Sus scrofa: one gene and its partner. The protein of the gene in region 1 interacts with the protein of each later gene in a pairwise test. Links are inferred from orthologs where the notes say so. Each region holds a gene or a part of one and is shown in the gene's direction. Other genes may lie near its edges.

What was found.
Region 2: the proteins of GTPBP3 (region 1) and PARP11 interact in binary tests that used the Homo sapiens proteins (3 or more experiments, as listed by UniProt). The two-hybrid records come from large-scale screens. The link is inferred for Sus scrofa from reciprocal best matches to the Homo sapiens genes GTPBP3 and PARP11.

What each region holds. Positions count from the first base shown.
Region 1 is NC_010444.4:60,352,851-60,356,759, reverse strand, and holds the start of GTPBP3 (tRNA modification GTPase GTPBP3, mitochondrial), read left to right. Parts: upstream 1-1,356; 5' UTR 1,357-1,455; coding exon 1,456-1,508; intron 1,509-1,847; coding exon 1,848-2,101; intron 2,102-2,211; coding exon 2,212-2,594; intron 2,595-2,743; coding exon 2,744-2,816; intron 2,817-2,908; coding exon 2,909-3,052; intron 3,053-3,203; coding exon 3,204-3,369; intron 3,370-3,599; coding exon 3,600-3,878; intron 3,879-3,909. UniProt on the Homo sapiens protein: GTPase component of the GTPBP3-MTO1 complex that catalyzes the 5-taurinomethyluridine (taum(5)U) modification at the 34th wobble position (U34) of mitochondrial tRNAs (mt-tRNAs), which plays a role in mt-tRNA decoding and mitochondrial translation.
Region 2 is NC_010447.5:66,442,160-66,446,068, forward strand, and holds the start of PARP11 (poly [ADP-ribose] polymerase 11), read left to right. Parts: upstream 1-1,323; 5' UTR 1,324-1,554; coding exon of another isoform or gene 1,555-1,572; intron 1,573-3,909. UniProt on the Homo sapiens protein: Mono-ADP-ribosyltransferase that mediates mono-ADP-ribosylation of target proteins. Plays a role in nuclear envelope stability and nuclear remodeling during spermiogenesis. Inhibits the type I interferon activated signaling pathway.

The sequences.
Region 1 (3,909 bases):
CAGGTTCGATCCCTGGCCTCGCTCAGTGGGTTAAGGATCCGGCGCTGAGGTGAGCTGTGATGTAGGTCGCAGAGGTGGCTTGGATCTGGCGTTGCTGTGGGTGTGGCATAGCCTGGCAGCTGTAACTCCGATTCGACACCTAGCCCAGGAATCTCCATATGCCGCGGGTGCGGCCCTAAAAAGCAACAACAACAATAATAATATTACAGTCCTCCTAGTTAAATGTGAATTTCGGATAAATGAATAAATTTTCAGTATGTCCCAAGTATTGCATGGGATATAGTTACACTAAAACGTTACTCATTGTTTATCTGAAATTCACATTTAACTGAGTGCCCTGTATTTTGCCTGTCACTTGGACCTCCCGACCACCCTGAATGGCCTCCTCCATTAGACTGAAAAGCCAGCGCGCGCAGAGTCCCAGGCAAATTCTGTTCTCACACAGTAGGCACTTGATGTATACTTTCGACAGACAGAACTCGGAGACGGCGAATGTCATCGTTTGCCCTTCTTTACAAATGAAAAAATTGAGCAGAGCGAGGCATGGGGTCTTTAGACCTGTATCCTGTTCGTCTTCCCAAAGTATATGAGCGCCGCCCTCCCGCTCCGTCCTAGAACCAGAGAATTAGTCGTGCGAAAGCGTCCTGCTGAGATCCCACCCGTCCGGTGCCTGGAATTCCACCATCTGCGCTTTATTCCATCAGCCGCCGCTGTCCTGGGTTAACCTGAAAGTAATCTCTGAGACTCCCCTCTGGCTTTCGGGGAGCCATAGACCAACCGAACACTCAACTCTGCAGCAGCAGACCTGGGCCAGAGTAGCCCAGAGGGGCGAGAGGACTGTGCTGGGGGTTCTAGGGAAGCTTCCTGGCAAAGGGGACCTTGGAGCTAGGCACTGAGGCTGAGCTTGTCAGAGGAAGAAGGGTATACGAGGCCATGGAGACAGCGGGAGGAAATCTAGGGAGGGGTGAGAACTGTAGAGTTCCGAGAAAACTAGAAATCTTCCCAGAAGTATGGACAAGATTTTCCCAGGGTCAGTGCATAGGTTCCCCGGAATTCTCTCCCGGTCACTGAGATGCTCTTGCTTCGCCTAAGGCTATGTAGTGGCCAAACGGGACTCAAATCCTTTCTTCTCCATAATTCCCACCGCCCTAAGCCAAGCCCTGTTCTTACCCCCACCCTCTTTTCCGGTATCTCAGATCCCTGCTGCTCTAGGATCCCAAAAATTCTGTCTAATGTTGCAGGGGGAACACCATTTAGCTGCACCCGGAGTGCTAGCACCCTGTCCTTTCCTGGAATCAGCCAATAGAAGCTAAGATCTTCAGTGGGTGGGCGGTACGTCTTCTACGGGGCCCAATGGTAACCGAGAATTGTTGAGCCCTTTACGGATCACGCCGCGAGGTGGGCGGGGCTAGCCCCGGCTGGGCGCTGCCAAGGCTGGTCGCTGATTGTGAATCCATGTGGCGGGTACTATGGACCCTGGTAGCCCGGGCGGCACGTGGGCCTCTCAGGTGGGGCTTCTCACTTGGGGGAGGGGGTGTGACGGCGTAGGGCGCTGCTTGGGGCCCAGATCCTCTCCCTAGGATCTGGAGGTCCAGTTCCCTTTGGCAGAGCCGTATTTTTGGTCTTCTTCCAAGGCTCTGTCCATCCCCCTGCCGCAGAGCCCACATGTGGATCAACTTCTCTCAGACATCTCTATTCAGTCATCTTACGGCCTCAAACCTTCCAATCTTTTCATCCCCCCGGCCGCAGAACTTACACTTGGGGCATCTCCTGACCATCTAGCCTTCGATCCACCTGCCACTCTGGCGGCAGAGTTTCTCAGAACACTGACTCTCCTCCTCTTCCAGTTCCAGGCCGTGCCCGCGCCAGAGCAGTGGCGCCCCGGCCCTGGGTCCCGGGTCCACTATCTTCGCACTGAGCTCTGGCCAAGGCCGCTGCGGCATCGCTGTCATTAGAACCAGCGGCCCAGCCAGCGGGCACGCCCTCCGGAGCCTTACGGCGCCCCGGGACTTACCCCCGGCCCGCAAAGCCTGCCTGCGCCTCCTCAGCGACCCCTGCTCTGGGGAGCCTTTGGACCGCGCGCTGGTGCTTTGGTTTCCAGGTGAGGGACTTCAGATCTGCAACCTCATATAGCTTCTATGACCCAACTTCCTCCTTCCGGACTTTTACCCAGGTGGTATCCTCCTGACACCTATCTCCTCACCATACTAGGTCCCCAGAGTTTCACCGGTGAGGATTGCGCGGAGTTCCATGTGCATGGAGGCCCAGCTGTGGTGAGTGGTGTCCTGCAGGCCCTGGGTGAGTCTGCAGCCTTGGGTTTAAGGTGTGGCTATATACCAGTGGGCCTGGATAGGAACCAAAAGGGGCTTAGGACCCTGAACCTTCCTGCAGGCAGTGTGCCAGGGCTGCGGCCAGCAGAGGCAGGCGAGTTCACCAGGAGGGCATTCGCCCATGGGAAGCTGAGCCTGACTGAGGTAGAGGGGCTGGCAGATCTGATCCATGCAGAAACTGAGGCGCAGCGGCGGCAGGCCTTGAGGCAGCTGGACGGGGAGCTGGGCCACCTCTGCCAAGGCTGGGCAGAGACCCTCACTAGGGCAAGTACACCATTTGCTCATCACTTGCCTGTCTAACCTGCATGAGAGCTTCCTGTGAGCCCAGTCGGGCACCTTGGGCCGGGCCAGACCTGGGCACACTGGGGGGTGGGTTCCTGGGTGATCACACTACCCAAACTCACCTCTTTCAGGCTCTGGCCCATGTGGAGGCCTATATTGATTTTGGTGAGGATGACAACCTAGAGGAGGGCGTCCTGGATCAAGGTGGGTCTGCCTGGGGGTGGGAGGTGGGGACATCTGGCATCTCAGCCCTTAGAGACCCCCTTACTCTCCCTCCTGCTTTCTTCCATCTACAGCTGACAGCGAAGTGCGGGAGCTAGAGGTGGCATTGGGCACACACCTTCGAGATGCCAGGCGTGGACAGAGGCTTCGCTCAGGGGCGCACGTAGTGGTTGCTGGACCTCCTAATGCCGGCAAGAGCAGCCTGGTGAACCTGCTCAGTGCGTGGGCAGGGGGGCGGGGCCCGGGGCAGGGGGTATACTAGGAGCTGGGGTACTGAGCTTTTAGGGGTGAGCAAGGGGCCAGGGAGGTAGAACACCAGCCAGCTCCAGCCCTGCCCCCGCCTCTGACCCTACCCCACCCCACCCCCAGGCCAGAAGCCTGTGTCCATCGTGTCCCCTGAGCCGGGGACCACCCGAGACGTGCTGGAGACTCCCGTGGACCTGGCCGGGTTCCCTGCGCTGCTGAGTGACACGGCGGGGTTGCGGGAGGGCGTGGGGCCTGTGGAGAAGGAGGGCGTACGGCGCGCCCAAAAAAGGTGGGCAATCAGGGTGGTCGGAAGGGGAAACAGGGCCCTTCCTCTGCTGTTTCAACCCCTTGCCTTTATTTTTCATTTTTCCTCAATGAGGAAAGGCCACTAGACCTCAAGTGGAGAGTCTGCTATTTGGGGAGGGCAGGTTTGTAACGTTCTGCCTCTGTCCCTGTCCCCACCCAGTGCTCGTAATGGCTCAACTCTGGGGTCCAAGCTCCATTCTCTCACTCCCCCAGGCTGGAGCAGGCTGACCTCATTCTAGCCGTGCTGGATGCTTCTGACCTGACCTCTTCGTCTAGCTGTAACTTCCTGGATACTGTTGTCATCCCCACGGTTGCTGGGAGCCCCCATGGGAGCAGCCAGCGCCTCCTGCTGGTGCTGAATAAGTCGGACCTGCTGCCTTCTGGGGGCCCAGACCTCCATCCTGACCTGCCCCCCTACCTGCTACTATCCTGTCTGACCGGCGAGGGGTTGGATGGCCTCCTGGAAGCGCTGAGGAAGGAGCTGGCTACATTGTGAGCCCCCTTTGCACTCCACAGCCTCCCT
Region 2 (3,909 bases), on another chromosome or scaffold:
TATTTAAGTAGTTTTCAATTTTTTCACCATTCCAAAAAAGTAGCAATAAATATTCTTGTATAGACATTTTCTGTGCAGTTGTCCCATTTGCCTCCTTGACATTAGTTCCTAGAAATGGAAATTTGAAATTTTGTTTCATATTGCCAAACTACACTCAAGAATAGTGTATAAATTTACAATCACTAAATTTATTCTGGTAAATGGATCGAGATAGGGATCTTTACCTTTTTTTTTTCCACTTTACTTTTTGCCAAATGACTAACCAGTTGCTTATTGAATAATCCATCCTTTCCCCACTACTTTGAAATAGATTTATTATACTTTTTTGGCATGAAGGATATCTATATCACAGTAAGTGAAAAAATCAGGCTCTAAAAATGCAGGTATTCTTTGATCAAATAAAATTTTTTTTTTTTAATGTGTGGAGGTATAGAAAAGCTAAGAAGGATCTTAAACTAGCTCTTTTTAATTTCTCATGGGTAGATGGTACTTCTTTGCCTAGGAAATTCTTCCCCTCTTGTAGCTAGCTCTCTTTACTCAGATAAGTTCAATAGGAGGACAGCCAAGACGTTTTAGCTTGAAACTTGGGATGGGGGAACCGGGGGGGGGGGGGGGGGGAGGCAGCCCTCTGTGCTACCTAGGTAAGCATGCTCTCAAAGAACCCTGTACTTGCCATATTACCTATAAACCATCCTGTACCTTTTTGCTTGAATTCTTGTTTTTTTGTTTTGTTTGGGGGGTTATTTTTGGCCACAGAAGCAGCATGTGCAAGTTCCCGGGCCAGGGATGGAACCTGAGCCATAGTCATGACAACGCTGAACCCTTAACTGCTATGTCACCAGGGAACCCTTGCATCCTGTTATCTAAATTACTTCTTATTTTTTTTCCTCTAGACTCTAAGCTCCATGAGGACTGCATACGGGTCACTCTTGTTCATTCCAGAGCCTAGCACAGTATCTGGCAAATAATCTCCACTCATTGAGCTTTTACTGTATGCCAAATACTGTGCTAGCTTTCTCCAATGATTTCACAACACCCTATTATCGTCTCCTGCAGAGCACGAGCAAACAGATCGTGAAGCCTGTCCCACAGGCTACTCATTCCCAGACCTCTCTGCCTCTTACCGCTACACCCACTATACGGTGATCAAGAAATATCGAAGAATTACAGCCTGGGATGCTTGGGAATCACTTGGAGATGGCAGGCGGATTGCAGCCCTGGACTGTGGTTGGACTGAAGCCCTTTAGCTCCGCCCACAACCCCAGACCCTCGCAAGCCCCGCCCACTTCGCTCCAGGCCGGAAGGGAGCGGCAGGGGCGGGGTGAGCTTCCGGGGGCGGGGCGGGACCGGCCCCGGTTAGCAGGCTCTGGCCGGAAGTCGAGAGGTTAGGGGATCCGAAGACGCCGGCTTGTGACAGGGAGAGGGAGACGGAGGCCTGTGTGGAGGTTGCCCCTCCGTCCCTTCGCTCCCGGGGACCCTCAGGAAAAACCCAGCACCCCGGCCCCGTGGCCAGCCCCTTCCCCCAGGCTCTCTCCGCTCGATTTCGCCACCGTTATGTGGGAAGCGAATCCGGTGAGTAGCCGGGCGGGACTGGGCGGGCCGATGGGCGGGGTTGACGGGAGAGGGCGGGAGGGGTTCCCGGGAACTGCCCCCGCTACCCCGACGGCCGCGCCGGCCGGCTGTTGAATTTCCGGGCGAGAAGAACCCGGCCCTGGCGGCTCGGGCAGTGGAGACGGCCCGGTGGGTCCCCAGCGCCGTGCGGCTGCTCTGTCCCAGTGATTGATTTTGACTCGCTGCGGTTTCTCCGCCCTCGTCACTCCACCGTCTTTTTCAACTTTGCCTTTGAACCTGTTTCTCTTCCTTAGCCTCAGGTGTTCCCACCAGCTACCCCCCAAACCCAATCTAAAGCGAGGGAACTAGCCCCTCTGGGCCCTGAGTGGGCCTCAGAGGAACCGCCAGGGCTGGCTCCTTTTCCCTCCTCGGGGGCTAGCCATTGAAAACTGAGGTGGGCCGAGTGTGAGTTCTAAGTCTCTAGATGGTGAGGTTCTTAGATTTTTTTTTTTCCACTGGACAGAACTGATGACCTGGAATGTTTCAACTGCAAGTCTTGTGTCTTCCTCCGGTATTTGCATTGTGCCTGCGCTTGTTTTTGTTTACCTTGCTTTTATACATTCATTTATTTCATATGCAGCCTGCAAAGAGTGGAATTCCTTTGCCAAGAGTATTCCATTAACCTGTTAGAGGTGAAATCGCCTAGTAAGAGGGCAAATGGACGCTATTTACGCCTTTGAATTCAGTGGAAAGATGGCAGAATCACATATCAGCAAATTGTTAGCTTTAACATGTGCCACTACCCCATGTACTGAGAAAACTTCCTAAATTTACTTGAATAACCTTGTTTTCTTATTTGCAGTAACTCATTTGATGTAATCAGCACTTCCCCCCCCCCCATTCCTGGAATATATTTCCAGATAAATTGATTTATCAGTAAATTCTCTTCTGTTTTTAAGTTTTTATCCAGTAGAAACTAGTCTGTTGGTCTGGATTTTTTGGTTACATATGCTGGTTCCATCCCAGGCCACTGTGTAACAGTGGTGGTCACTAAGACTTTTTTTTTTTGGTTCATACATATAATCCTCTAATATAAAGCCACATCAGAGGAAAGGAACTACTGGCGCTTGATTTTGGCAAAAATAATTTCAAATTGTGACAGTGTGCTCTCTGATTATATATTCAGTTTCACTATCAGTTTCATTAGTAAATTTCATTTTGTATTATTATATGTATGTATATGTGTGTATATGTGTTTGTGTGTGTATTCACTTTTTATTGGCAGTGCTTCTCTTTCTGATTTCTCCATAACAAGCCCTTTCATCATCCCAAGGACATGTCTTGCCCAGTGTCACATATCTTAAATACTTCACTAGAGTATAAGCTCCACGTGGGCAGGCATTTTTGTCTGTTTTGTTTACTACAGTGTCCTCAGACTCGGGAACAGAGCCTGGCATGTAGTAGGTGCTCAGTCAATATCCGTTGAATTAACAGAGGTGATTGCATCAGTACTAGAGAGAGGCTTTTGCTCCTGTTATTCAGTCCTCTCCTCCATCACCTTATGTCTGCATTGGCTGTTGGATCACTTGTGTGCTTGTAAGGATGATAAGAGCATTAATGAGTCTCTTGTATATTTGGTTTGTTATAGCAGTTATCTCATTTCTTTGGAGGGAATGCTGAGTTTTCTCTGCCATCCCCCTAATGATTTTGCTTGATTTCCATGGAGCAGGCTGTCTTTCTTTAGGGGTGAACCTTCCACCTACAATCCCACATTCTTCTTTGGCCCTTATTAAGCTCCTCTACTATGTCTTAATGCTATTGTGTCTTCTTTCTTACTGATACTGTTATTCTTCCTGTGAAGGTATGAATGCTGTCAATAAGGACAGTTTCTGTTTTTTTGAAACACAGTCGACATTCTGCACGTGAGCTTCCTCTTGTAATTTGTTAGTTTCTTTTAATAGAAGAGGCATCTGGATAATCTCTTCAGCCGTGCTGGTGGAATGAGAATTAATTTTAATGTTTCCCTAAGCCAAGCACAGTTGGGAAGATTAAAAAAAAAAAAAAAAAAAGCCCACCATGCATCCTAAAGATAAATACAGATGACTCTTGTATTACCCACCAATTGAAATGACTGTTGACCATTGCTTTCCGTTGAGTGATATGATAAATTCCGCTTTGAGGAGGAAGGCCATAGCGAACCTCATTAATGGAAGACTTCTGCCTAAGTTCTTCGTGTGTTTTTTTGGTAGCATCCATAACCTTGAGCTGCCACCTGTAATCTGCAAGTACACCTCCTATTGCACATATGGCTTCTGTTTGGTACTGTGTTCCAGTCACAAGTATTTTGAGGAAATACTC